2 linked regions of the Lepisosteus oculatus genome follow. The protein of the gene in region 2 purifies or fractionates together with the protein of the main gene of each other region. This does not show direct contact. Links are inferred from orthologs where the notes say so. Each region holds a gene or a part of one and is shown on either strand. Other genes may lie near its edges.

Region 1 (7,917 bases), on a different chromosome or scaffold from region 2:
TGGTGTGATTAACTACACTGTTAACCCCAGACTGCAGCGCACTGTGGTGTGATTAACTACACTGTTAGCCCCCGGACTGCAGCGCACTGTGGTGTGATTAACTACACTGTTAGCCCCCGGACTGCAGCGCACTGTGGTGTGATTAACTACACTGTTAACCCCAGACTGCAGCACACTGTGGTGTGATTAACTACACTGTTAACCCCAGACTGCAGCGCACTGTGGTGTGATTAACTACACTGTTAGCCCCCGGACTGCAGCGCACTGTGGTGTGATTAACTACACTGTTAGCCCCAGACTGCAGCGCACTGTGGTGTGCTTAACTACACTGTTAACCCCAGACTGCAGCGCACTGTGGTGTGATTAACTACACTGTTAACCCCCAGACTGCAGCGCACTGTGGTGTGATTAACTACACTGTTAGCCCCCAGACTGCAGCGCACTGTGGTGTGATTAACTACACTGTTAACCCCAGACTGCAGCGCACTGTGGTGTGATTAACTACACTGTTAACCCCCGGACTGCAGCACACTGTGGTGTGATTAACTACACTGTTAACCCCAGACTGCAGCGCACTGTGGTGTGATTAACTACACTGTTAACCCCAGACTGCAGCGCACTGTGGTGTGATTAACTACACTGTTAACCCCCGGACTGCAGCACACTGTGGTGTGCTTAACTACACTGTTAGCCCCCGGACTGCAGCGCACTGTGGTGTGATTAACTACACTGTTAACCCCAGACTGCAGCGCACTGTGGTGTGATTAACTACACTGTTAGCCCCCAGACTGCAGCGCACTGTGGTGTGATTAACTACACTGTTAGCCCCCAGACTGCAGCGCACTGTGGTGTGATTAACTACACTGTTAACCCCAGACTGCAGCGCACTGTGGTGTGATTAACTACACTGTTAGCCCCCGGACTGCAGCACACTGTGGTGTGATTAACTACACTGTTAACCCCAGACTGCAGCGCACTGTGGTGTGATTAACTACACTGTTAGCCCCCGGACTGCAGCGCACTGTGGTGTGATTAACTACACTGTTAACCCCAGACTGCAGCGCACTGTGGTGTGATTAACTACACTGTTAACCCCAGACTGCAGCGCACTGTGGTGTGATTAACTACACTGTTAACCCCAGACTGCAGCGCACTGTGGTGTGATTAACTACACTGTTAACCCCCGGACTGCAGCACACTGTGGTGTGATTAACTACACTGTTAACCCCCGGACTGCAGCGCACTGTGGTGTGATTAACTACACTGTTAGCCCCCAGACTGGAGCGCACTGCTGGATGCCAGGAGTCTGATTAACAACACTGTAAAACCCGGAGTGGATCAGTCTGCCACCGACGGGGTGTCCGACTGCTTGCACAGGTACAGTAAGCACGTCCCCCCCACCAGCAGCTACTCACCCCTGCGCCAGCCCTCCGCGGGCTCCAAACCGGCCCCCCCGGCCCCGCCCCCTGTCGCCTCTGGAGAGAGAGAGAGAGAGATGTTAGATGCTTCCATCACTGGATTGGAGAGACACCCAGCCAGCCGCCTCCACCAGGCCAGTCGGGACCAGAGCAGCGAGGCCACCCCTCTGCTCTCCGCGCAGAGAGACGCAAGCTCGAGTGAGCCCCACCGCGCCTGCAGAAGACCAGGTGCTCCAGTCACACGATCGGTCCACCTGGTTAATTCCATGACGGACTGTAGCACCTCCAGGACTCCGGGGTAACACCCCTACTCTTTTGGAGAAATGCCCTGGGATTTTTAATGACCACAGAGAGTCAGGACCTCGGTTTTACATCTCATCCGAAGGACAGCGCCTATTTACAGTATAGTGTCCCCGTCACTGTACCGGGCCATTAGGACCCACACAGACCGCAGGGTGAGCGCCCCCTGCTGGTCCCACTAACACCTCTTCCAGCTGCAGCCTCAGCTTTCCCAGGAGGTCTCCCCTCCAGAGATGGATGCTGAGCTCCGGTGGGCTGCCAGCAGGGTAACTGTGCGTGAACTGAAGTGAACAGTAGAGCTGCACAAGACCACGATAAAGATCCCGTGTCTTGAGGATGTAAGGGGTCGTTACAGAGTGGAGCCACAGGGCCCGCCCAGCCGCTGGGTATTTAGTAGCTAACTGACCCCCTGCAGCTTGTTCCACACACACACCCCCCTTTGTGTAAGGAAAGGCCACCTGTTCTGAATTTCTCTGTGGTCGCCAGTCGGTTCATTCACAGATCATCCTGCACGAGTCCCGCGGGCTCAGTGCCTCACAGGGCGATTCCAGACGGCCCTCCGACACTAGGTTCATGGATCTTTGACCTCAAGCCCCCCCCAGCACCCTGGCCGGTAGGATAAGCCACTAACCAGCCGGCACGCAGAGACTGGGACCCCCGATGCCGGACAGCCGCACGGTGTTGGAGGCAGGAACGTGCCTTGGCACTCGTCGGGCATACAGACCCTCGGTTCGCCCGCACCTCGGCGGCCAGGTCACGAAGCACACACCGGCCTCGGTGCACTGCCGGTCGGCGCCGTGTGGAAACCGGCACGGTGGGTAACAAAGAGCAGGCCCCAGACCGGCCGCTCGATTACAGCCATTCATTCATCCAGCGCCCGGCACAACACCCTCTTCCGAGAGCTTTTGTTTTAAAAAAAACGCCATTTTCCTTTTACACATCTTGTCACTAAACGCCAGGAAATGGAATTCGAAGGGGACGCAGTTTCAACTTGGGTTTTAGCGATAACATGCAGAGCCCACGCACGCGCGCACACACCCCCGATCCGACACGGGTACGCTAGCTAACTCGAGACCCGAGGCCTGATATGAGGCCTACTTGAGAAGCCGGATTTCAGTTCTGCCAGGACACACCGCGTTGTCAGATTGCGCACAGAAAAAAACAGTTTTCCCTTCCATCTCCTTTGAATTACTGTACCTCATTGCGTACGACGTCTTGACAACTTGAGGGAAGCCACAAAGAGAAATCTTCGGCCGCCGACCTGTCCGCTGGCGTTGCTTCACTACCCAGGGAAACAGCGTCTCCGAACGAGATCGACAACCCAGGGAACCAATCACAGGCGCCAAACGCTTTTCAACAGCAAGAGGCGATTGGTGAGGTGGGGTAGGGGGCGGGGCTCGCAGGCAAACATCCCACATGATTGGTTCTCGTCTAATAGTCTCTGATGCACTTTCGAATGATGACCACTAGAGCGCAGCACTGCAGAACACACTCGGACAATAACAAAGCGAGTGACTTTTCACCAGTGCAAGCGTCTAGCAGAGTGGCGCAGCGGAAGCGTGCTGGGCCCATAACCCAGAGGTCGATGGATCGAAACCATCCTCTGCTAACCATTTTCATTTTTCAGATGAGCCACGTATTAATCTCATTTTACAGCATAGAAACAACACGTAATATAAAAAGCAGTCATGCACACACCTGAAATACTTTTCACACAGGTAAAAGTGTTCCTCTGTATGTTAATGTTGTGTGAAACCTGTCGTAGAAACATCTGGATTAGGCTGAGGTACATCCCTGGTCAAATTTCCCATTGGCCCTTACCAATCATGGCCTCCTAATAATCCCCCTCTCTGAACTGGCTCCATCGCTCTGCTCTCCTCCCCACTGAGAGCTGCTGTGTGGGGAGTGTTCTGGCGCGCTATGGCTGCCATCGCATCATCCAGGTGGGGCTGCACATTGGTGGTGTTGGAGGGGATCCCCATTACCTGTAAAGCGCTTTGAGTGGAGTGTCCAGAAAAGCGCTATATAAGTGTAAGCAATTATTATTATTATTATTATTATTATTATTATTATTATTATTATTATTATTATTATTATTATTATTATTATCCCGGTGGGGCTACTAACTGGTGCTGGTGGAGGGGAGTCCCCATGACCTGTGAAGCACTTTGAGCGGACTGAGAAAGGCGCCATATACGTGTAAGGATTTATTATTATTGTTGTTGTTGTCGTGTGGAAGTTCAAGTAGGGAGCTGTGTCATCAATCGTAGGCTTCTAAGGAACCAGCAAAGGTTTATTCCATGCTGAAAAGAGAAGAAAAGGAAACGTTTCGGCTGTGGAGCCTTATTATCTTCTTCTTAACATTATAATTATGTGGTATTATACGGTACGGCACCAGAGGAATCACGATGGCGAGACTCGGTAAATAAGTGCAATAAAGGAATGCAAATAATAACAATAATAATAATAATAATAATTGCTTACACTTATATAGCGCTTTTCTGGACACCTACCTCTCTTTTATTTTTCTTTGTTATTTTTCCTTGTGATTTTACTGCTGTTCTGAACGTCTTATCAGCGCTCTTGTTCCCCTCGTTGATGTAATTTTAATGAACAATCACGATTAGAATTAATGGTTAGCTACAAAACGCGCTTCACGGCGAATAGAGACATTCGCCCTGCTGGCCACACGGGGGCGCTGTGGGGGAGCCCTTCCGGGTCACTCGCTCAGACTCTCGGCGAGGGAGGCGTTTGTGTTTTTATTATTTTTAGTTGTGGAAGATTTTAAACGACTTTATTTTAGTTTTTTTTTTTCCTCCGGGGAGCAGTCTCGTTTCCCGCTCGCTGTAGAGGGGGAAATGAGCGAGTCCAGTCTGCGCTGGGACACGGGGTGGGTGAAGACTGGCTGTTTCAGGACTGATCTCTTCCCACCTGCTTGTCTTTCTCCTGCTGTGATCCTCACTATAGCAGCATCCTTCTCTGTGTCTCTGTCGGTCCACTCCTGTCTCTCTCCCTGTGTCTCTGTCAGTCCACTCCTCTCTCTCTTTCTCCCTGTGTCTCTGTCTGTCCACTCCTCTCTCTCTCTCCCTGTGTCTCTGTCCACTCCTCTCTCTCCCTGTGTCTCTGTCGATCCACTCCTGTCTCCATGTGTCTCTGTCTGTCCACTCCTCTTTCTCTCTCTCTCTCCCCCCCTGTGTCTCTGTTGGTCCACTCCTCTTTCTCTCTCTCCCCCCCCCCGTGTCTCTGTTGGTCCACTCCTCTCTCCCCCCCCCCCGTGTCTCTGTCTGTCCACTCCTCTCTCTCTCCCTCCCTGTGTCTCTGTCTGTCCACTCCTCTCTCTCTCTGTCTCTGTCTGGTTCTTGACAGCTCTTGCTCTGCGCAGGTGCTGTGACTCTGGGTGACGGTTCTGTGGGGGTCTTCTCCAGAGCCCCGCCCTGGAGAGGGATGTCTGCGTCCGAGGGGGACGTCGGGGGCCGCGTGTGTGCGTTCCTGCGGACAGGGGCGCAGGGAGGCGAGAGGGGCCACGCGGCTGGGGAGATCGCGGCGGCCCTCGGGGGCCCCCCGGTCGGGGATGTCAACCGAGCGCTGTACGAGCTGGAGAGGGGCGGCGCGGTCCGCCGGACCAGGACAGAGCCGCCGCTGTGGAGCCTGGCGGGCTCGGAACCGGAGCCACGCGCGACCACCGGGGCGTCCCCTGAACCCGGGCCCCCGGACCCTCAGAGCGTCCTGAAGGTCCTCCTGTCGGCGGGCCCCGGCGGGGGGCTGCCCGCGCACCGGATCGCCCGCGAGCTCGGCGTCTCGCGGAAGTCGGCAAACCAGCAGCTGTACTCGCTGCTGCGCGGGGGCCAGGTGGACAAGACGGAGGGGCCCCCCGTGCTGTGGAGGCTGCCCAGCCAGACACAGGGCGAGGGGGCAGAGGGGCCGCGCACCGCCGCCCCCTGCAGGCCGGGCGTGCACACTGCGGCCACGAACGGGAGGGACAGGTATGTAGACGGGGGCAGCCGGCATGAGGCCCTGAGCGCTGACTGGCTGAACTAGCGGAGAGACTGGGGGCAGACTGCTGCCATGGTTACGTGGGCGTGAGCCGTCGCTGCCGAGGCGATGGGCGGGGCTGTGGGTGTGCCAGGCAGAGAGAGGGAGAGCGGTCCTGTGTCTCTGCTCAGCACTCTCGTCTTCCTCCTCTCTCTCCTCACTCCTCCCCCCTGCCTCTCCCTCTCCTCACCCCTCCTCCCTCCCTCTCTCTCCTCACCCCTCCTCCCTCCCTCTATCCTCTCTCACTTTCCCCCTCCCTCCTCCTCACTGCCTCTCTCTCCTCACCCCTCCTCCCTCCGTCTCTCCCTCTCTCCCCCCACCCCTCCTCCCTCTCTCTCCCCACCCCTCCTCTCCTCCTCCCTCCCTCTCTCCCCCCACCCCTCCTCTCTCCCTCTCTCTCCTCACCCCTCCTCCCTCCCTCCCTCTCTCTCCCTCCCCCTCCCTCCTCCTCCTCACTGCCTCTCCCTCCTCTCTCTCCTCACCCCTCCTCCCTCCCTCTCTCTCCCTCCCCCTCCCTCCTCCTCCTCACTGCCTCTCCCTCCTCTCTCTCCTCACCCCTCCTCCCTCCCTCTCTCCCTCTCTCTCCTCCTCCCTCCCTCTCCTCCTCCCTCTCTCTCCCTCCCCACCCCTCCTCCCCCTCTCTCCCTGTCTGCCTCTTTCCCAGTGGCCCTGTGCCCCGGCCTCAGCCAGCTGGCCCGGGGGAGGCCCACGCTCTGGCAGCCAGCTTCCAGCACCTGGCCCTGGGGGAGGGGACCCGCCGCGAGCCCCAGGACGTGCTGGGGGTGCTGGAGGGCCTTCCGTCGGGGACCACTGCCCCGGCTGCGCTCATCGCCCGGAAACTGGGGGTCCCCAAAAAAACAGCCAATCAGCACCTGTACAGACTGCTGCGAGAGGGCCGTGTCCGAATGGAGCAAGGGACACCCCCAAAATGGGGTGTTCCATGAGGGGCACCTAGCTGTTGTGCTTCAAAGGGAAGAGGAATAGAAGATGAATATAAAGATCGTTGCGTTGATGTACAGAACAGGTAGAAGGCCGAGTGGTCAGTTATCATGTCATTTTCTGTTTCTGGAATTAAAACCATTCAGCTTTTTGTTTCATTTTTGACCTGTAGTGGAGAACATGGTGCCTGTGCACTGAACTGACTGCAGGCAATAAACTTCTCCAAACAGAACTGGGCTGGAAATTGTGACTGTACTGCCTGACACTCACACTGTCACACTGACACACACACTGACACACTGACACACTCACACTGTCACAATGACACACACACTGACACACTGACGCACACACACTGACACACTCACACTGCCTGACGCACTGACACGCTGACACACTCACTGCCGAGCACTCACACTCACACACACTGGCCCTGCACATCGAGGCTGCCCCCAGATGTCTGAGCCTACACCCCCCTTCACAGGCTTCTACCCCTCCTCTCCCCTCAACCAATCCGTCGCCTGTTTTCGACGTCATCGCGCCGCTCTTCCTGTTTTCCGACGGCGAGGCGGTGGAGCCCACAACACTCTGCGGAGCCTGAGCTGCACTGCCAAACCCCTTAATCCATCTGCAGGTAGGGAGCGCCTTTCTCGTTCGCCCCGGGTGGGTGTTCGCGGAGACACGCGTGGCTGGTGTCGGGGAGTCGGGCCGGGGACGGCGGCGAGCCCAGTTGGTCTGCGCCGGGAGATGTGGCCCCCAGCCGCTCACGACCCGCCTGTGGTATCGCGACATGACGTTCGGGGTGCGTGGAGTGAAGGCTGGCGAGAGTGGGCTGGAGGCGGAAGAGGCAGGGGTCCCGGGTCGCGCTGAGGGGGGGGGTCGGTCGGAGCCGATACTGGCTGTGCATCTGTGCGTGTGAGAATTAGAGGCATCGGGGGGCGTGTGATCGCGAGTCGGAGCTCTGCAGGCGCTAGGGCCGGTCCTGCCGGTGTCGCTGGATGTCGGGACATCAGTGGTTCAGCATGCACAGTAGTTTCAGCGCGCTGCTGGCGCTGCACAGGGTGGTATCGTTGCGGGGTGGTCTGGCACGGCTTGGCCCAGGACGGTATTGTACCGGCTCGGGCTGTGCAGAGCGGGCTGCAGGCGAGCACACTTCTCCTGTCCCGCAGAGCTGTCTCTGGGGACCGCAGGAGAAGGACGCCGGTGCGTCTCCCGGACGTGTTCGTCC
Region 2 (7,230 bases):
AGTGTTGGACAGGGGGCTCCCAGCAGGGCTCTGGACCTGAACTTGGGCCATACTGACGTCCGGTTCCAAGACTTTCACAGCACGCAGCACAGGGGTTCAGCGCAAGTTTGGAGTAATCCAGCAAAGCTCTTCCTGGGAAAAATAATTCAAAAGCTTGTGTACTGTGGGATGCTTACTCAGATAAGATTATATCCAAAAACGATAGCCATATGGTACGGGGGACATCTTGCTCTTTTTTGAGGTTAGGTAATGTTTGGGTTTTAAAAATGAATCCAGTCTAATTCTTTTTAAAGAAATGTAGTTAGCAGAACTAGAAACTAAACTGGTCGACAGCACAGAGTAAACACATCATACATACAAACAGGGTTTAATTACATCTAAAGTCGCCTTTACATATCACACATGCAAGTGACTAATTTGTAAGCTTTTTAGACTATACTGCAAAACAAAACAGCAAAGTCCTTCTTTGTGAGCTGAGATGTAAAACAGAGGTCTTGACTACCTACCCATGGTCATTAAAAATCCCTGGGGAGTTTCTCAAAAAGAGTAGGGGGTTTTACCCTGGTGTCCTGGACAAATTTCCCCTTGGCCTTTACCAGTCATGGCCTAATAACCCCCATCTAAGAACTGGCTTCATCACTCTGTTCTCCTCCCCACTGATAGCTGGTGTGTGGGGAGTGTACTGGCGCACTATGGCTGACATCACATCATCTAGGTGGGGGCTGCACATTAGTGGTGGTGGAGGGGAGTCCCCATTACCTGTGAAACGCTTTCAGTGGAGAGTCCAGAAAAGTGCTATATACATTTGAAGATTATTTATCTTTTTATCTTAAAACTATCTTAAATGTTAACTAATGAGCAGCATCATCTTGCTTTGCAATTCCATTTTATGTCTGAATGTTACAGTATGAATTCTAAAACATTAACATGCTTTTCTGGTAAGTTTTAATAACCTGTCAGGCACAAAGCCAAAAGTATTGAGCATACTTCAATAAGAACTACCTCTTGATTGAGAATCATATGCTTGAAATAAAAAGGTAAGGCAAGTTAGAGGCAAAAACTATTTTAAAGAGATCAAAATCACATCACAGCCCCACTTATTTATATATTTAAGTCACAACTCTAGTCTATCAAAAGTGCGTTTGACTTCTTGAAGCTCTGAGGTGTCTTAACATGAAAGGCACTATATAAAATAAAATTGTTCCTGTTATTAAAAAGATTGTTACTGTGGACTACCAAAACAATTTTTTGGCCAAAGCCTTAATGAATGGCAGGAACATCAAGACAGACCCAGTGCACTGCACAAGCGATTTCTGTGTATTCCTGGATGTGTCACATACATAACTTTAGCAGATCTCAATTAAACCAGGACACACAACCCCTGTGGCTGAAATGGTAGGTCTTTCTCTCTGCAAGTGTCTCCCTTGTATGAACAGTGTTTCCTCTTAAACAGCTAAATTACTGTGTTTATAATGCCAAGAATCATTATAAGCTGATATTTATCTTTGGGATTTCCCACAATCGTGACCACTAATAATTACAGCTCCGATGAACATACAGTGTTGTTTTGAGGTGTTTTCAAAAACAAAAACTGCGAAAACTAAATACCAGCCCTATTCAATCTGTGTTAAGACTAATCCATCCATCACGTCAAATTTTAATGAATGCGGGGATGGTAAACCTAGAGACTTTGCTCAATACCAAAAGACTTAAAATTATCCAGATGTAAAATGTTCATTTTAACTTTAAAATTAGGAGGGAGGCGCGTACAAACGAACTCCAAATAAGATTTCTCCAAGTAGACAGACGACCCCCTGCACTCTCCAAACATATTATTTTCGACGACTACGCATACCAGAAGATGCACGCTAACCTGTTTGCTTTCACGGTGGACAACAGCTTAATTCACGACACGGAAGGCGTCTAAAATTGACCAGACCAATTTAAAACCGTAAGTGTTCTCTCCCAAATCGTAAGGGTCTGGTCTGAGGCCTACTATCCTTCACCTAAGCCTGGACACACCGAAAGTGCTGAACAATGGACATTTAAAAATAAAGACAGACAATCGTCCGATTCTCTTGAAGTGCAATCACGGCATGTTCAAGAAAATCGTGACCTGCTCGTTAGCATTCGTAACCTCTCCCGACACTACTGTAGCTACCAGCAAACATACCGTGCACTGCGAAAACAAGAGTTGTGGTGGCCTTTAATTTGTTATTTTGTTGAAATCACGTCGCCAAAATATTTCGAAAGCTCAAGTACTCCAAAGCAAAGAAAACATGGTTTGAGAGAACTGCAACATTAGCATTTTTTTTTCCAAAGCGGCAAATGCAAATGACGTTACTTCTGGGTGAGATTTAACGACACCTTAATACCCCCGAAATATTATCTGGCTACTTCAGTGCCAGCAAAGTGACACGACAGGGGGACGAGTATAGCATATTCTTATAAAGAAATATACCTGTTTCTAAGAAAAAACTTCATTCATGGTGTATTGTTACAAAACGGAACCTAACAATGCTGTAAAAATGCACATAAACATAAAAACCCACTAATAAAGTATATTTAACCGCATCGACCACGTTTCTGGATACCACATTTAAATGCGCAACTATTTCTCTGTAGTACTCAATGCGATTGTAAAACAAAACAAGAATAACAACACCGTCCAGATCGTTGAATGTTATTGTTTGGTTTACAAAGCTACTGACCTCTACCAGAAACGAGCATATTAATCCCCACCTGGATTTTAAAAATAATGTGTTGATTTGGGAAAGAATGTTTCGTCGAATAAAACTTTACGCTTTCCGTGCGTTTCAATTGAAGGTAAAAGGTAGCACAAGACAGTGGAGCAGAGCACACAATGTGATTGCAAATCAAAAATTTAAAAAAGCTTGCAAGATCTCACCTCTTTTTATGTTTCAGTCCAGCAGTTAAGGATTTCTTTACTCCATGAGCTACGGTATGTGAGATTTATATTTGATCTGTTCCACTTTTATGGATTTTTCTTCTATTTTTTTATTAAAATGTTAGTGTTATGGTGAGAAAAAGGCAAACAGGGCAAACACTAAAGAGAATGGCCCAGCCTCGGTTTCCCATTCCGGAAGTGACCTCAGCCGGCTCGCAGGAAGTGCCCCGGTCTGGAGAGATCGAGAAGGAATAACGAGCTGCAAAAAATGCGAGCCATATCATGAATAACTTGTGTACGTTACTGTAAGACTGCAAAACACAGGCTGTTCATAATTTTAATAAACGATGTTATACATCATTTAACGCCGGTTCTCTTCCTTACTTATTAACATGCTACATTTTTATTGGACGATAGGGGGCGTGAAAACACCCTCTTGACTGGAATACCTCAAGACCGAAAACAACTTGTGACTTCATGAATTGCAGCTTCGATACTGTGAAATATTGATAATGGTATCACAAAGCACCGTAAACTATCGAAGAGACCTGGGTTGGAGGGTTAATTGGAACTAACTGCTGGAGATGTTCAATTAGTATTTTCAAGGGTATGGTGCTATCATTCCCAGCCCCGTCCAGAGCTTTCATCAGCATGGTACTCAGGCATGTATTATTCCAGCATTAGAGTATTATAATATAATGAGGAAACATCTAAAATGCTGGGGCCTTCATCTTTTAGTTTATATATGGTGTCCCTTAGATCATTTGTCATAATGGTCATAGGTTTCATTGCAATGGTAATTGAAGATATATTCCAGATCAAATTGGATGCTACTGCTGCTGTTATTGTGCTTTATAGGTGTTTGATGGTAACATATGGAAGCAGCTGAACTTTCTTTAGCAAAACTGCGACTAGGCTGAAATTCTAGGCTCCCAACATCAACAGCATAGAACAGACGACTTCCATGTTATTGTGAATGGTGCTGAAATCCAAACTCTGATGGAAGACAGAAAACTTGCTTCCGAATCCGTGTTGTCATTAGAAGTGCATGTTAGGAACATCACAAGTCACTTCCTTCTGCCTGCAGAACACCGCTCACTCTAGAACCAGTGCTTGGCCTGTCTGATACTATATAAACATGATGCATACCAATATTAGACCAATAGAATCTTATATGATAGTAAATGGGCTAAAATGTCAGGAATTCTAAGACTTGTGCTAACTAAATGTATTCTGCATCAGCACTTACCTTCGGTCTTGTATAATTTTTAATAGGCTCCCAGTGATATATAGGGTGGACTACTCTAGCAGGTACTACTGGTCATGTGTGAGGCCTGGAAATGTCTAGGTCCAAATGATGTTAGATATATTGGTTAAGTAGAGGGTTGGTACGGTAGTCAGAATTGCTACCTTGCAGCTCTGGGGCTCTGGGTTCATATTCAGACTTTCAGTGCCATCAGCATGGAGTTTTTATCATCTCCTCACTTTCATCTAGGTTTTTGGCCTTGCACTACAGCTTTGCATTGGTTTAATTGACCCTGCTGCGGGAGTCCATCTTGTGTGTGCCCTGTGATGGACTGGTGTCCAGTCCAACTCATAACCTGAGATCTTTCGATCACAGAATCTCACAACGGATGGCAAAGCCTTCTTGTATGCTCCCCATCTACACTGGAACGCGCTGCCAAAATTCATTACATTCAATTACATTGTACAGTGCTTCAGAATTTCTTAAAGTTCATAAAAGTATACACAGATTTTCTGAACTGTATTTGTAGTAAAAGGAATGATCAGCATTGATTTCCTTAAAGAAGCAAGTTAGCAATGGATTGATGTACTGTTGGATACAATCTTGCTCAATCCTTCTTATGGAGCTCGATGATACCACGCTCATTTACAGCCATGGACTGAAAAATTATGGGTAGAAAACTGTGCCAACGGCCCTCAAATAGAATGGGACAAGCATTGTGGGAAGGGTGTGGTTACCAGTTCCACCTCTGTCACTCAGAACTGGACAGGGGCTGTGGATCCAATTTATCCTGGTATTTCCTAGACATAAAGAACCTTAAATCTAACAATGTTAGAGATAACAGCAGTGCATCATTTTGATGCTGTAGTTGCACAAGCCCATTCTCAAAAAGCCACAATCCAACAGGTGTTAAAGGGCACTCTTAAACTCTCATTTCTGAAGGCTAGAAAAATGGAACCAAGCCAATTCACTGGTACACTTCAGAAAACCCCAAATCACTTGAGTGATAGTTACTTGAGATTTTCATAAGTGAATGTTCCAAGTGTTTTAATCCAACATGTTTTTAATCATCCTGTTTTTCATTACACTTTGTTAAATGTTGGTAGGAATAACTTAGTTCAGTCTTTCAAAATATGCAATGTCATACTTCAAAATTTGCATTAATGTTGGCATCCATTTGAGAAGACAAATCCATAAGTCAACAATCTATATCCTTGTAATTTTTAGGTGATCAATCCTTTAACTACACCAACTGTTTAAAGAACTCTGCATGTAGATTACACATTTTTGTATCAAGGCAATATAGTCATTTTGAAGAAATCTTAAATGTAACCAAATGATTATAAACTTAGCATTTCATCCACCTTTGATTACCTTCAAGGTCCTGGACTGTAGTACATGTACTGTAGGTTCACAAGTACACAAAAACTGAATATACACAAGTGCTTTTTATTTATTCACATTTGGAACATGAGAAACTAAAGAGACAAGACATAAATAAAGACATACAAGATACAAATGGTTTAGAAGAATGGTGGAAGCATAAAAAAAATGCTGCTGTCAAAGAGCTCTCAGAAAACTCTGATCTACAGTAAAACTGCAAAAGAAGATTTGAAATGAACACAGTCCTCTCGTGGATTTGCAGGATGGGAACAAGGGTGTTGCACGGCCAGAAGACAACTGCGATCTGTTTGAACTCATAGCTCATACACAGGATTAACATGTTTCTCTATTCCTTTGCAAACTGATAAGATTTCATGTAGTTATACATGAAAAGGTATTCTGACTAGCATTTGAAGAAATCCCCCTTGAAAAAAGTTCCTACAAAGCTTTTCTAGCATGTAACAGAAGGTTAGTGAAAACTCAACTGCCTACCTTCTTTTACACAAAGAAAATGATACTAGTAACAGAAAATGCTTTTACAACAGTCCAAAGAAACTTATATGCGAGAGCTGTCCCAATGAGGTCTGTAAAACTTCACTGTATGAGTTTCTAGATCACAACATTTGCAACTTTTACCTTAAAGACAATTCATGATATTTTTGGAAATACCAAATTAAAATCCTTAAAAGTTTCTGTCAAAGATCAATATCTGGTGAGAGAATAAAGGAGTTTGGTTCACAAAGTTTGCTGATGATTCCTGCGACCTTCTGTAATTCTCATCCTGGCCTTATTGTCCTCAGCAGGTTTTCAATGATTTGATTTCAGGGTCCTAAGTCTTACACGAGCTGGACACTTGCTGCTTGGAGATAGCCTTGCAAGAACTGTAGTGCTTCAGCATTCAGGCTTGTGCTCAGCATAGAGGGAACCTAGAAAAACATTAATAATCACATTCTTCTTTCAAAGAGAACGAAAAAATAAAACGTGTAAGTTTTATACACCTGAACTGGATTATGAAATATACTTGGAAACCCTTCTGGAAAAAAAAGACTTCAATTTGTTTACATTAAATATGCACAGAACTCCCTCATATACTCTATTTACTTTATGTTAAATAAGGCAAGTCTTATTTTAATAAGTATTAAATAGCCCTTTTGACAAAGAGGTTTTAATGAGCACTACACATTTAACAGTGGACTGCCATGAAACCCTGACAAAAAATAACCTAGCTTTAAAGCAATCAAACTATTTAAAGTTGTTAGCTTCTTGAATTCTTAGTCACAACCTACGTTTGAAATAAACAGCTTCAATACAATAAGAAAAAACTTCAAAGAAGTTATAAAAAAACTTATTAAATGGGGGAAAAAAAAAGTGTGGAACAAACTTGCCTTTGCAAAGAGAGCTTCGTGCCATAAAGGAACACCCAGTGTGAAATGCTCAGTTGACTTTAAGGACGGGAAATTGATTAGTACACTGGGTTCATTGTGTCTGCCGGGAGCGCAAACATCCTGTCCCACATAGCTCTACATCAACTCCAACACAGACTTCTGCTACGTGTGGAAGCCAAGCTGTGGTCACTTACCCTTCCTGGGCACGCTGTGGACAGCTTGTGGAGAGACTGTGCAAGGTGGATTTTGGGATTGCTGACGGCATCTCCGATGGGGTCATGCTCTTTCTTCCCTGCGAAAGCCAGCTG

The links.
Region 1: the proteins of stau1 (region 2) and ilf2 purify together in Homo sapiens (affinity purification with mass spectrometry; 3 studies listed by BioGRID). This does not show direct contact. The link is inferred for Lepisosteus oculatus from reciprocal best matches to the Homo sapiens genes STAU1 and ILF2.

What each region holds. Positions count from the first base shown.
Region 1 is NC_090722.1:6,551,768-6,559,684, forward strand, and holds the start of ilf2 (interleukin enhancer-binding factor 2 homolog), read right to left. Parts: upstream 3,035-7,917; 5' UTR 2,921-3,034; coding exon 2,916-2,920; intron 1,476-2,915; coding exon 1,416-1,475; intron 1-1,415. Other genes in the region: uncharacterized protein, read left to right, coding at 5,163-5,701, 6,415-6,694; adar (double-stranded RNA-specific adenosine deaminase), read left to right, coding at 7,146-7,323. UniProt on the Homo sapiens protein: Chromatin-interacting protein that forms a stable heterodimer with interleukin enhancer-binding factor 3/ILF3 and plays a role in several biological processes including transcription, innate immunity or cell growth.
Region 2 is NC_090711.1:9,426,973-9,434,202, forward strand, and holds the start of stau1 (double-stranded RNA-binding protein Staufen homolog 1), read right to left. Parts: upstream 3,107-7,230; 5' UTR 2,909-3,106; intron 133-2,908; 5' UTR 52-132; coding exon 1-51. Other genes in the region: cse1l (exportin-2), read right to left, coding at 6,374-6,463, 7,117-7,230. UniProt on the Homo sapiens protein: Binds double-stranded RNA (regardless of the sequence) and tubulin.